Saccharomyces cerevisiae S288C: one gene and its partners. The protein of the gene in region 1 binds, or shares a complex with, the protein of each later gene. Each region holds a gene or a part of one and is shown in the gene's direction. Other genes may lie near its edges. The genes, in order: MRPL16, MRPL6, RML2 and MRPL50.

What was found.
Region 2: MRPL16 (region 1) and MRPL6 share a complex: the UniProt entries of both Saccharomyces cerevisiae proteins name them as parts of the mitochondrial large ribosomal subunit.
Region 3: MRPL16 (region 1) and RML2 share a complex: the UniProt entries of both Saccharomyces cerevisiae proteins name them as parts of the mitochondrial large ribosomal subunit.
Region 4: MRPL16 (region 1) and MRPL50 share a complex: the UniProt entries of both Saccharomyces cerevisiae proteins name them as parts of the mitochondrial large ribosomal subunit.

Annotation. Positions count from the first base shown.
Region 1 is NC_001134.8:144,289-147,414, forward strand, and holds MRPL16 (mitochondrial 54S ribosomal protein uL16m MRPL16), read left to right. Parts: upstream 1-1,898; coding exon 1,899-2,597; downstream 2,598-3,126. Other genes in the region: CTP synthase URA7, read right to left, coding at 1-1,440; APL3 (Apl3p), read left to right, coding at 2,921-3,126. UniProt on the Saccharomyces cerevisiae protein: Component of the mitochondrial ribosome (mitoribosome), a dedicated translation machinery responsible for the synthesis of mitochondrial genome-encoded proteins, including at least some of the essential transmembrane subunits of the mitochondrial respiratory chain.
Region 2 is NC_001140.6:392,139-394,895, reverse strand, and holds MRPL6 (mitochondrial 54S ribosomal protein uL6m MRPL6), read left to right. Parts: upstream 1-1,612; coding exon 1,613-2,257; downstream 2,258-2,757. Other genes in the region: SKG6 (Skg6p), read left to right, coding at 1-441; snoRNA-binding rRNA-processing protein IMP3, read right to left, coding at 811-1,362. UniProt on the Saccharomyces cerevisiae protein: Component of the mitochondrial ribosome (mitoribosome), a dedicated translation machinery responsible for the synthesis of mitochondrial genome-encoded proteins, including at least some of the essential transmembrane subunits of the mitochondrial respiratory chain.
Region 3 is NC_001137.3:59,167-62,668, reverse strand, and holds RML2 (mitochondrial 54S ribosomal protein uL2m RML2), read left to right. Parts: upstream 1-1,817; coding exon 1,818-2,999; downstream 3,000-3,502. UniProt on the Saccharomyces cerevisiae protein: Component of the mitochondrial ribosome (mitoribosome), a dedicated translation machinery responsible for the synthesis of mitochondrial genome-encoded proteins, including at least some of the essential transmembrane subunits of the mitochondrial respiratory chain.
Region 4 is NC_001146.8:669,240-671,917, reverse strand, and holds MRPL50 (mitochondrial 54S ribosomal protein bL9m MRPL50), read left to right. Parts: upstream 1-1,724; coding exon 1,725-2,144; downstream 2,145-2,678. Other genes in the region: SNF12 (Snf12p), read right to left, coding at 1-1,500; YNR021W (uncharacterized protein), read right to left, coding at 2,327-2,678. UniProt on the Saccharomyces cerevisiae protein: Component of the mitochondrial ribosome (mitoribosome), a dedicated translation machinery responsible for the synthesis of mitochondrial genome-encoded proteins, including at least some of the essential transmembrane subunits of the mitochondrial respiratory chain.

The DNA of each region.
Region 1 (3,126 bases):
GACGTCACCGTATAACTTCTTGATTTGACTCCATTCAGTTTCATTTTGGAAAAATGTTGGTCTCAAACCTAATCTCATTGAGCCCCCCATGGTTTCCTTGTCAATTTCAGGCATGAAAACGACAACGTGATTTTTTTCATCAATGTCTGGATAAAATTCTGCCGAATGACTGTCTTTTCTTCCCAACACACTACGTGTAAATTCAATGGTGGCAATTTGTAAACCCAGGCAAACCCCTAAGAATGGAATGTGATTTTCACGAGCCCATCTAGCAGCCAAAACCATACCTTCAGTACCTCTAACACCAAAACCACCGGGGATTAAGATACCGTCTGCGGTACTGACCATGTTCCATGCTTCATGAAATTTAGTTTTGTTGCTTTCTTGTGCTTCAGGTTCCAAATCAGTAGCTTCCACCCATTTAATGTCTAACTTACGACGACACTTCATGGATGAATGTTCCAATGCTTTTATCACTGATAGATAAGAATCTTTCAAGTTGGTGTATTTCCCAACCAAAGCAATCTTCACTGTTTCCATGGATTCATCGAAGTTACCTGTTGTGGCCTTCCATTTAGACAATAATTCCAGGCCTCTTTGTTTTTCTTCTTCTGTAAGTGATATTTCATCTAACTTTAATCTGGCGTGTAAGTAATCAATCATCTTTTGTTCCAGTAGCAACAATGGGACGTGATAAGTAGAATTAACATCGTGAACGTTAACCACCTGTTCAGGCCCCACATGACAAAACATGGCAATCTTATCGATTGTTGGTTTATCCAAAGTTTCACTACATCTACAGGCGATCATATCTGGAACTAAACCAAGAGACCTCAAACCTTTGATGGCAGCTTGAGTTGGCTTAGTTTTTTGTTCACCGTGGATGACAGGAACTAGAGAAACGTGTATCAAGGCAAAATTTTCCTTTCCAACTTTAAATTGGAATTGTCTTAGTGCCTCCACAAAAGGAGCACTTTCAATGTCACCAACTGTCCCACCCAATTCAATGATACAAACATCTGGTTCCATACCGGTGTCATCTACAGGAATTTTGGCCACGCGCTCAATCCAATCTTGGATAGCGTTGGTCAAATGAGGGACAATTTGCACGGTTTTGCCTAAATAGTCACCTTTTCTTTCCTTAGCAATAACGTGCGAGTATATTTTACCAGTAGTAATGTTATGATCTTTAGTCAAAGTAACTCCAAGGTATCTCTCGTAGTTACCCAAGTCCAAATCTGTTTCACCACCGTCGTCAAGCACGAAACATTCACCATGTTCCAAAGGAGACATAGTACCTGCATCAATGTTCATATAAGGGTCAATTTTAATTGACGTAACCTTTAAACCGAGGGTTTTCATTAGCATACCAGTTGAAGATGCAAGAACACCTTTACCGATACCCGAAATGACACCACCTGAAACAACAACGTACTTCATTTTCTGTCTATAAGTTTCTTTTGTTCTATTGACCAATTCACTGAGAAACTGCCTGAAACTTTTTCGACCTTAGAATGGCAGAAAAATGGCAAATACTGTAAAATACTTAACATTTAACTAAATTTTATTCTATGCTTTTCCTCTCGATGAGATGAGCTGTGAAAAATTTTGAAAAAAAAAAAAAAAAAAAAAAAAAAAAAAATTTGTTATCACCAATAACGAGAAACCTAACTCTAAAACTTAGGGTCAAAGAACAGAACCCTAGGCTTTGTATCCAGTTGAATCACTAATTACGAAAGAATGCTGGTGGAAATAATAATATCATATTGGTGCTCAAATAACAAGAAGACTTCTTTGGAAGAAATTATTACCAATTAACAGTCCACTTGTAGAGCGTACATATTGCCGGGAAGTTGATTACCTTTCACCAGAGGTACAGAGGAATAGAATTTTGCAACATGTTCCCCTATTTAACAAGAATGAATTTATCCATAAAGATGGGAGGGCTAACTTTAAAAGAAAGTTCCCCCAATGCTTTTTTAAATAACACCACTATTGCTAGGAGATTCAAGCATGAATATGCCCCACGTTTCAAAATCGTACAGAAAAAGCAAAAAGGTAGAGTGCCAGTTCGTACAGGTGGTTCAATAAAGGGATCCACTTTGCAATTTGGTAAGTACGGATTACGACTGAAAAGCGAAGGTATTAGGATATCCGCGCAACAGCTGAAGGAAGCAGATAACGCAATTATGAGATATGTCAGGCCTTTAAACAATGGTCATTTGTGGAGGCGTTTGTGTACAAACGTTGCTGTATGTATCAAGGGTAACGAAACAAGAATGGGTAAAGGTAAAGGTGGGTTTGACCACTGGATGGTGAGGGTACCCACAGGGAAGATCCTTTTCGAAATAAATGGTGATGATTTGCATGAAAAAGTCGCACGGGAAGCCTTCAGAAAAGCAGGCACCAAGTTACCTGGGGTATATGAATTTGTATCCTTGGATTCTCTGGTTAGAGTTGGATTACATAGTTTCAAAAATCCTAAAGACGACCCAGTGAAGAATTTTTACGATGAAAATGCAAAGAAGCCATCAAAGAAGTATTTGAATATTTTAAAGTCTCAAGAACCACAGTACAAACTCTTCAGAGGACGTTGAACGGATTGAACACACCATGTATACATGTATATAACTATTGAAAAATATCGATATTCACAATCAAGTAATCTAGCCATGGCTATGAGTTTATTAATTCTAGTATGCACTGTATACTCTCTGCGGAAGAATAGGAGTTTTTCCCCGGAGTGAGCGCTGAAGAAACACATGACGACGTGAAAAAACACTTGTTTGATCCAGCTGAGGTATAAACACTGAGAAATATTTGAGGGTCAAAGAAGCACTAGGAACGTTACAGTTGGAATTTGCTAGTCAATCGAGTTTCCAATTTCGCAACCTTTATTATAGTACTAATCTTATAAGCCATGGATCGCAAAAAAACACTTATAAACTCAAGTGTTTCTAATAATAACAGTACCATCAAGGGCCTACAGTTATTCATTGCAGATCTTCGTTCTGCACAACAAGCACAAGAGCAGGAAAAGAGAATACAATCTGAAATTGTCAAAATTAAACAGCATTTCGATGCTGCAAAGAAAAAACAAGGCAATCACGACAGATTAGGTGGCTA
Region 2 (2,757 bases), on another chromosome or scaffold:
AGACTAAACGGAACTGCGTTAAATCCGGTCGATCATCCGGAAATGTTTTATTCACCGACAAACGATGCCTATTATGCTCCACAGCAGCAAGGCCAATATATGAAGTTTAACGAAAATGGGGCGGTTCCTTCACCTTATCAACTTAGACAAAGTGTGGTAATGACCAATCCTTCGGATTTGACGGCAAAACCATCTTATAAGCCAGCAGGTTCTTTCAGAAGTGTAAGCGCAACCAATTCAAGAAATAACAGTCTGACCACACAAAATAATATCTATCTGCAACAGCAGCAGCAGCAACTGTATAATTCTCGTGTTAGTGGGATATTAGAAGAGACAGATGTTGTACAGCCACCAAGTGTTGGTGGAATTTTGCCACATAGTGGTTCACAGGACGATTTAAGAAAACAATTAGGCTCTTCACATAATTATACCGTCAACTGAAGTGTAGATAATGAACGGACAATTATCGGATATATAAATTGATGTTTTATTGGAGAAATTTTACAAATTGCGTATTTATACAAATTAATTTATGTTAAATAGGATTTTTTCGAAGTGTATTTTTAAGTTTTAAGGCATATTTAACAAATGACGCCGATGAGAAATTGTTTTGCGGTTTTTCTTATTTTTGCATACGACGAAGAAGTTCCTTTGTGTATATAACAATTTTTCATGCTTCCAGCTTTTAAGAAAGCTCAGGCGCCTCACATCATTTGTATTTGCTGCCTCGTTGCCTATTCGTAATAATTTCACAATGTAGGAAGATGATAAATCGAGTATTGATACAGAAAACGTAAGTTTGTAGTCAATTTATGAAAAATCAAAATCGTCGATTTGGTTTCTGTATCTCAACAAGGTTTTCTTGATCTTAGAGTTGTCCACCCAAGTAACGTAGTCCTCCATATTTCTCGTTACGAGGTAGGCTGGATCGTTGATCAAATTTGGACCCACGCGAACATGCCCTTGTTCAATGAACTTGACTGCATCTTGTATAGTTTCCGCCATTTTTAATCTATGCATTATTACAGGTAATCGCCTCCTACAGATGGCACTAACAGTAACTTTATTTTCCAGATCAGAAATCTTTGATTTAGTTGTCAGGACACCCATAGCGTATAGCTTGTCCAGTAATAATTGCTCATGTTTGCGACGAAATGGATCAGTGGGAGGTAATAATGATAATTTATTGGCAAGACGACGAATATCACCGCATATCCTATTGTATTTATGATAATCTTCACGATTCTGAATATGATATGTTCTCATGACCTGAGTGTCCCGGTGGCCTTGGTCCTGCTTCCATTCAAGGAAGTCTACTTTTTTCAATAACTTTTGCTCATGATGCTTTAGTTTTCTAACCATTATTGGTTGTGATTATGCCTGGTGGTTTATCTATTTAGAACGTTCTATATTACTTATCCCATTGAATTTTTGTTGCGATGAGCTTATATCAGTGAAATTTTTTTCACTGGAAGTAGAGGGTAATGAAAGGCGAGCGGAAATAGCGAGGAGACGCTACGGTTATAGAGGAAGAATATCAAATACTAGTAAGTAAGGGAAGATCACGCAATAAAGCTATCGCAAATCTTACTATAGGAATTGAGGCCAACCTATGTCATTTATTCAGAGGAGGTTATTGTCGCAAACACTTTTTCTGCGCTCTCAAGTGGGGTCTTTACCACTTTATATATCTCCTGAAGTTCAGGTTTCCATAAATGCATTATCCATGCCCAGGATTATCAGAAAAGGTAGAACTTCAATGAATATATCACAGAATATCACAGTAAAGGGACCCAAGGGTGAATTGTCCGTGGAGGTCCCTGATTTTTTGCACTTGGACAAGGATGAAAAGCACGGTAAAATAAATGTTACAGTTCAGAATTCAGAAGATAAACATCAACGTTCGATGTGGGGTACAGTAAGATCACTTATAAATAATCACATTATAGGTGTTACTGAGGGGCATCTTGCTGTCCTTAGATTTGTAGGGACAGGTTATAGAGCTCAATTAGAAAATGATGGTAAATTTGTCAACGTTAAGGTGGGTGCATCTATCAAACAAGGATTGGACGTTCCTGAAGGTATTGTTGTCAAAACACCTGCTCCCACGTCTCTGATTATTGAAGGGTGCAATAAGCAGCAGGTCCTTCTTTTTGCTGCCAAATTGAGAAAATTCCATCCACCAGAGCCGTATAAAGGCAAAGGAATATACGTTAACGATGAAACAATAAAGCTAAAGGACAAGAAAATCAAATAACTTCAGGATTTCAGTTATTTTCGTACTCATTTTCGTAATTTTTTTTATGACATGTATCTTTTCTTATACTTTATAGGGAATACCTTGTAAATATCCTATGAAAATAACTTAAATGAAATTTATATTGGTTATTAATGCGGTGACGTGTTCTTGCTTGGTAAACATTTTGGTGTTCAATGAAACTCTTGGCTTGCAACCTTTAATATATACTAGTTTCACGGAATATGAACGCAATAAGTAAGGCCACAGAAGTTCGAACCTTACCTTTCATTTTATACAGTTTCGAAAAGGGAACACCATTTAGACTAGAAACCAAATATCCTCTTTAACGTTCTGCTAATGCTATATATTTTTTGATTCCAACGCTAATAAAGATTTTTTTTCTTGAGTACTTTTCATGTTTTGTTGTAGAGAGCCCATTTAAAACAAAGATGTTTACCAGAAAACAAAAGAAAAGATCAAATAAGTGAGTAAATGAAATGCTGTACCTTCCAATTTCT
Region 3 (3,502 bases), on another chromosome or scaffold:
TTCCTCGAGATTATAGAAATGCCCAAAAGGAAGTCGATAGTGCTACATAATTATGTAACTTCATCCTCCTTCCTTTTATACTTTGTCGTTCGCTACCCTATTACATTATTAATTCTTGCATTTCAGCTTCCTTTAAATTTGATAGCTGTTTCCCATCGTACTTTTTGTCAACTAATTCTGTCCTATATGATAATTGAAGAGTGGGTGAATTTTGAGATAATTGTTGGGATTCCATTTTTAATAAGGCAATAATATTAGGTATGTAGAATGTACTAGAAGTTCTCCTCGAGGATTTAGGAATCCATAAAAGGGAATCTGCAATTCTACACAATTCTATAAATATTATTATCATCATTTTATATGTTAATATTCATTGATCCTATTACATTATCAATCCTTGCGTTTCAGCTTCCACTAATTTAGATGACTATTTCTCATCATTTGCGTCATCTTCTAACACCGTATATGATAATATACTAGTAACGTAAATACTAGTTAGTAGATGATAGTTGATCTTTATTCCAACAATAATACATATTAATACTATATACATAAGATCAAAGATGAAACTTGCTTCTTATTCCAGCAAGATTCTATATGCCATGATATACGACGAATAATATTTTGTGAATCAAGTTGATACTCCAAGGTTATGTTCTAATCTATGTTCTGTGGGTTCTTTATTTTTTGAATAACAACAAATAGTAAGCGCAAGTGGTTTAGTGGTAAAATCCAACGTTGCCATCGTTGGGCCCCCGGTTCGATTCCGGGCTTGCGCAGCTTTATTTTTTTAATCCATTCATTTCATGAGCAACTGTCAACTAATTCCAATACGAAGAGCCTAATTCTTTGATAGTTCCTTTTCTTTTCTAGTTTAGATTTCAGAAAGCGTAAACAACAATTTTAATCATCGTATTCAAATTTACATCGAACACGTTCATGATTAGCATGGAGTGTAATCATCATCAAAAAAAAAAAAAAAGAGGAGTGATAATGGCAATTAAGACAATTTTTTATATAACAGTAAGAATTGATATTGAAACCAAATTGTGCTTAACAAAAAAAACTAGGTCGAATGGATATTTTTCTTAATCCAACCGTACCGCTGTGTACAAATGAGGCAAAAGAGGTAAAATGTTTGAGAAAAGATTCCTTTCTTCAGCAATCCTTTTCTTGCATTAAATACATGTTCCTTGAGAAAACTTTTGATGTTTAATGTGTAAATATCTCATTAATTTCAGAATTTTCAGTGTTTGTTGTTTGTAAAATCAGTCATTTCAAAGATCCGCTTGGGGCGACAACTTAGTCATCATGTTAATGAGATACCAACAAAAAACTGTACTTGTAAGTTGTCTTTATCATCTCTAAAGGAACAATAATGCAGAAGAGAAAAAAGTAAAGAAAGTAATACACAAACATCCCCCTCTTGGCTTTATAAGCATACGCAAACAGTATAGTTCGAAAAAAAAAGTATTAGTACGATCTATTTTTGTTTGTCAGGAACTCCTGTTCCTTAACACATTCTATAGAAATATCTATATGTTACCATCCACGTACAGGTTGAAGCGCTTGGTATTTAAGATGAATAAGTATATTCTACGGTTAAATTTGAATAGAACCTCTGTTCTTTAAATACTCAAAAAAAATTTTCCATGCAAAAAAAAGACTACGCGAGGTGGAAAGTTAGGGCTTGAACCTATAATTGAAAGAGAAAGGGAACGTATGGGAAACTGAAAGCGAGTTCTAACTAAGCAAAAGAGAACGTTGTAAACTAGTCCAGAAATACGCAGAGAAGATAATTTAAGTGTTTATGAAAGATGTTGGTGCTAGGGTCTCTTAGATCGGCGCTGTCGTGCAGTTCCACAGCATCGCTTATTAGTAAGAGAAACCCTTGTTATCCATACGGTATACTCTGTCGAACTCTATCTCAGAGTGTTAAATTGTGGCAAGAGAATACTTCAAAAGATGACTCCAGTTTGAACATTACTCCACGATTACTAAAGATTATACCTAACGATACTGATATCGTGACTCTTGAGAAGCAGGATGAATTGATTAAAAGACGTCGTAAACTTTCGAAAGAAGTGACCCAGATGAAGAGGCTAAAACCCGTCTCACCTGGTTTGAGATGGTACCGTTCCCCCATTTATCCATATTTGTACAAAGGTCGTCCGGTTAGAGCCCTAACTGTTGTTCGAAAGAAGCACGGTGGTAGAAATAATTCAGGAAAAATCACTGTCCGTCACCAAGGTGGTGGCCATAGAAATAGAACGAGGCTGATAGACTTTAACAGATGGGAAGGTGGTGCACAAACGGTGCAAAGGATTGAGTACGATCCGGGTAGATCCTCTCATATCGCCCTATTGAAGCATAATACTACCGGCGAATTGTCTTATATTATTGCTTGTGATGGGTTACGCCCAGGCGATGTGGTCGAATCCTTCAGAAGAGGTATTCCTCAAACTTTACTGAATGAAATGGGCGGGAAAGTAGACCCTGCTATCTTGAGTGTTAAGACTACCCAAAGAGGCAACTGTCTACCTATTTCCATGATCCCCATAGGTACTATTATTCACAACGTTGGCATAACACCCGTTGGACCTGGAAAATTTTGTCGCTCTGCTGGTACATATGCCAGAGTCCTTGCGAAATTACCTGAAAAAAAGAAAGCTATTGTTAGATTACAAAGCGGTGAACATCGTTATGTGTCTTTAGAGGCTGTCGCTACCATTGGCGTGGTCTCCAATATTGACCATCAAAACAGATCTCTTGGTAAAGCCGGCAGATCAAGATGGTTAGGGATAAGACCCACTGTTAGAGGTGTTGCCATGAATAAATGTGACCATCCTCACGGTGGTGGCCGTGGTAAATCCAAGTCTAATAAATTATCAATGTCTCCATGGGGACAACTGGCAAAGGGGTACAAGACTAGAAGGGGTAAAAATCAAAATAGAATGAAAGTAAAAGACAGACCAAGAGGCAAAGATGCAAGATTATAAATAGGCTAATTTTAGTAGAAAAGAAGCAACATAGGGACCTTTTCTTCGTTGTTCTGGTTACATTTATCTGTACTATATAATTTTGCACAGCCTGTAGACAATGCCGCTTGTCCACAATCATGTAAATATAAATATTGAAACTTTTCACTTGTTTAAAATTTATGGCAAACCACTTTAATACTTTTTTCTTTTTAGGTACAATATTTACATTTTGATACTGTCCATCAGATTTTAGTCACTAACATCTAAGTTAAGGAAGTAAGAGATTCAGACTCCGGTAAGGAAAAAAAAAAAAAAGAAAAAAAAAAAACAAACTCTGAAATGAAAGCATTAGAAGAAAAAGTTATATCTCATGTACAATTTGAGCAAATTTGGACCGATATGATTTGAGGTTGTATGATAAGAAGTGCTATTTATGATTGTTTAAAAAGATGTTATTTTATTAAACAATTATACAAAATATCCTTTTTTTTAATAATGGCTTACATATTTTTGAAAAGGGT
Region 4 (2,678 bases), on another chromosome or scaffold:
TCGTTTGTTGCTCTCGTGTAGATTCGAGAGAACGGACGTTATTTCTTTGTCCTGTAAAGCTATCTTGGGTTTGATTTGTTCCAATTCCCTGGCATTTTCATTCAATTCAGCAGCCCCAATTTGACTTTCTCTTTGTGTATTATTGAATTTTAGAGCGTTGACATCAGGTACTTCAATATCAAGAACCAACTCACCATAAGTGGAAGCTTTATCAACGCGTACTGTGTAATCAATTTCAATTGGCTGTAATGGGAGCAGGTGAGTACTATTAATAAGGGACAGTAAATCCGTTAATTTCATTGTATCTGGAGAAGATTCTTTAAGACTGCTGGGTAATAAGGTAATAAGCTGAGTGTCTAATTTTACAATAGAAACTTGACTGGAGGCTGCATCAAGCATCTTACTAGTACTGGTGTTGCTATTGTGATTGTTCCTGTTGCCCATCAAATTTTCGAATGCAGACTCATCATTGGTAAGCAATTCATTTAAATGGATGTATTTATATATGGAAAATATTGCATCATGTGATGTACCGCTCTTCAATCCTATTATTGCGGTTAGTTGTGGAGAGTAGCTCATAAATGGCTCTTCTGGGGATGATTTTCGCAGGATGCTTATAGTGCATTCTACATTTTCAGACCCTACCCTCTTAATATCGAGACCATCGAAGTCTACAGGATTATTCGGGTCATACTGCCATTTCACTGATTCTAGTTTTGGAGTTGTAGAACTCATATCCTTTTTGGCAGTCTCCTCCCCCATCGTGGCATTATTTTGGTCGGTATTAGTCGTAGTAGAGTTGTCACCATTCGGCAGTGAAAATTGTAACGGTAAGTTTAAGTTCAATTTCTTATCACTGGGTCCTTCGGTGGCATTTTCTTCAGGGGCCGCATTAAATTTAGTCGATGGCACATTATCGTTTTCCTTATTTTTGAAGTCTACCACTATCGATTCTATGAATGAGCTAAATTTTTCTCTTGCTGGATCATTAGCTTGCACATTGTCCAATAATCGACCTTCGATTCTCATCGTCCAAGTGGCATTCTCCAGTGCCATAAGGTCAGCCTCATTGTTTGTGTCCATTTGCCAGGGTTGGTTTTCACTAACATTTGAAATGAAGATTCGGAGAAATTTTACATTTGGAAAATTTAAATGAGGATAAAGAAACTCTTGGGATAGCTTTGACCTCTCCCACTGCGCAACCATTCGCTTCATATGTAAGTTTCGCAGATGAATAAAATGATCTAATCTTTTCTCGGAATCCACCAGTTGTTGGAAAGAATACAGCTCAGGAATCAATTCGGCTAAATGGTCAGGGATAACCATATCTGATGGATGAGAATGTGGCACTGTTGGCGTAATTTGAGAAGCATTATTTGCTTTATCTTGGTTCACCGGATCCTTTTTCTTTGCATGAAAGAAATTTTTAGTATCAGGTGTGGCTGCTTTTGAACTCTTTCTAGAACCTTTTCCGTTGCTGGGTTTCATTACTTTGGACATGGTTCAATCCGTTAGATCTCTGTTTGACAGCTTTAGAGTTGTCTTATTTTGTTTTTGGTTTAATACATCCACGTTATTTTGTATTTTTTTTGTTTATTATTGCAAGTTTTTAGTTCATTTGTTCTTTCCGATGAAAAAGCAAACTCAAAGGGCAGTTAAGTTACGTTATACCGTAAGGAATATAAAAGGCTAACTAAATAACGAACGAAACAGGTCGACCAAAGATGCTACATTGCACCCAGGTGTGTCTGAGCGCTCTGACAAAGAGAACCCACAGGGTCAAGGTTCAAGTCCTGAAGGATTTCCCGCGATTTCAATTATATAAAGGACAAGTTGCAAATGTCAAACCATCTTTAATGAGAAACTATTTACATAACTTCAATGGTGCAAAATACATACTCAGCGAAGAACACGACATAAATACGGAACTGTTAAAACAATACCAAACACTTGAGGCAAAGCTAGAGGAAGACCATCAACAGCTCTCTAAACGCCATGAAACGGAAGTTCAAAAGAACATGGAGTTACGTAAAGAATCTGTTTTTGGCCACAAGAAAGAAGAGAAGCCAAAAGAGGAAAAGAAGGGATTATTGGATTCTGGGATTACTATCGAAGAGGTTAAGATCCCCGGTCTTGACATTTGATTGGTAAAGAGTATGTATTCAGATAGCGTACAATCTTGTATATAGGCAACATCGCAATTCAAAACACCACATACCAATTTACATACTTACTATTTAAATGTATGGATACATGGAAAACGTTCGTATACAAAAACTGAAGAGGTTCAGAAAATTATAAGGAGGAAAGAAGAACAAAGTGGTTCTTACTGAAATCTTGTTCTTTGCTTGTTTTTGAGACGTCTTTCTCTTTTCTCTTTCATTTTTTGATCTACCTTTTCTTGTTGACCAGAGGCCTTCAATTGACGTCTTTTGGCTTTTTCCAATTCTAATTTCTTCTCCTTTGCCAATTCCAATTCAGTTTCTTTCATAAACTTTTTGATCTTGTTCAGTTCTTGCTGACGCAAGTTGGTAGTTCTTTTCAAGATGTCGTTGGTAATGAATAAGTTTGGAGACTGTTGGACTAAATCTTGAGTGAACCCATCGTAGATTTCTACGACTAAGGAAATAATTTGGTTTAACAACTTCAATTCATTCTCATTTTGGGGAACAGCGCAA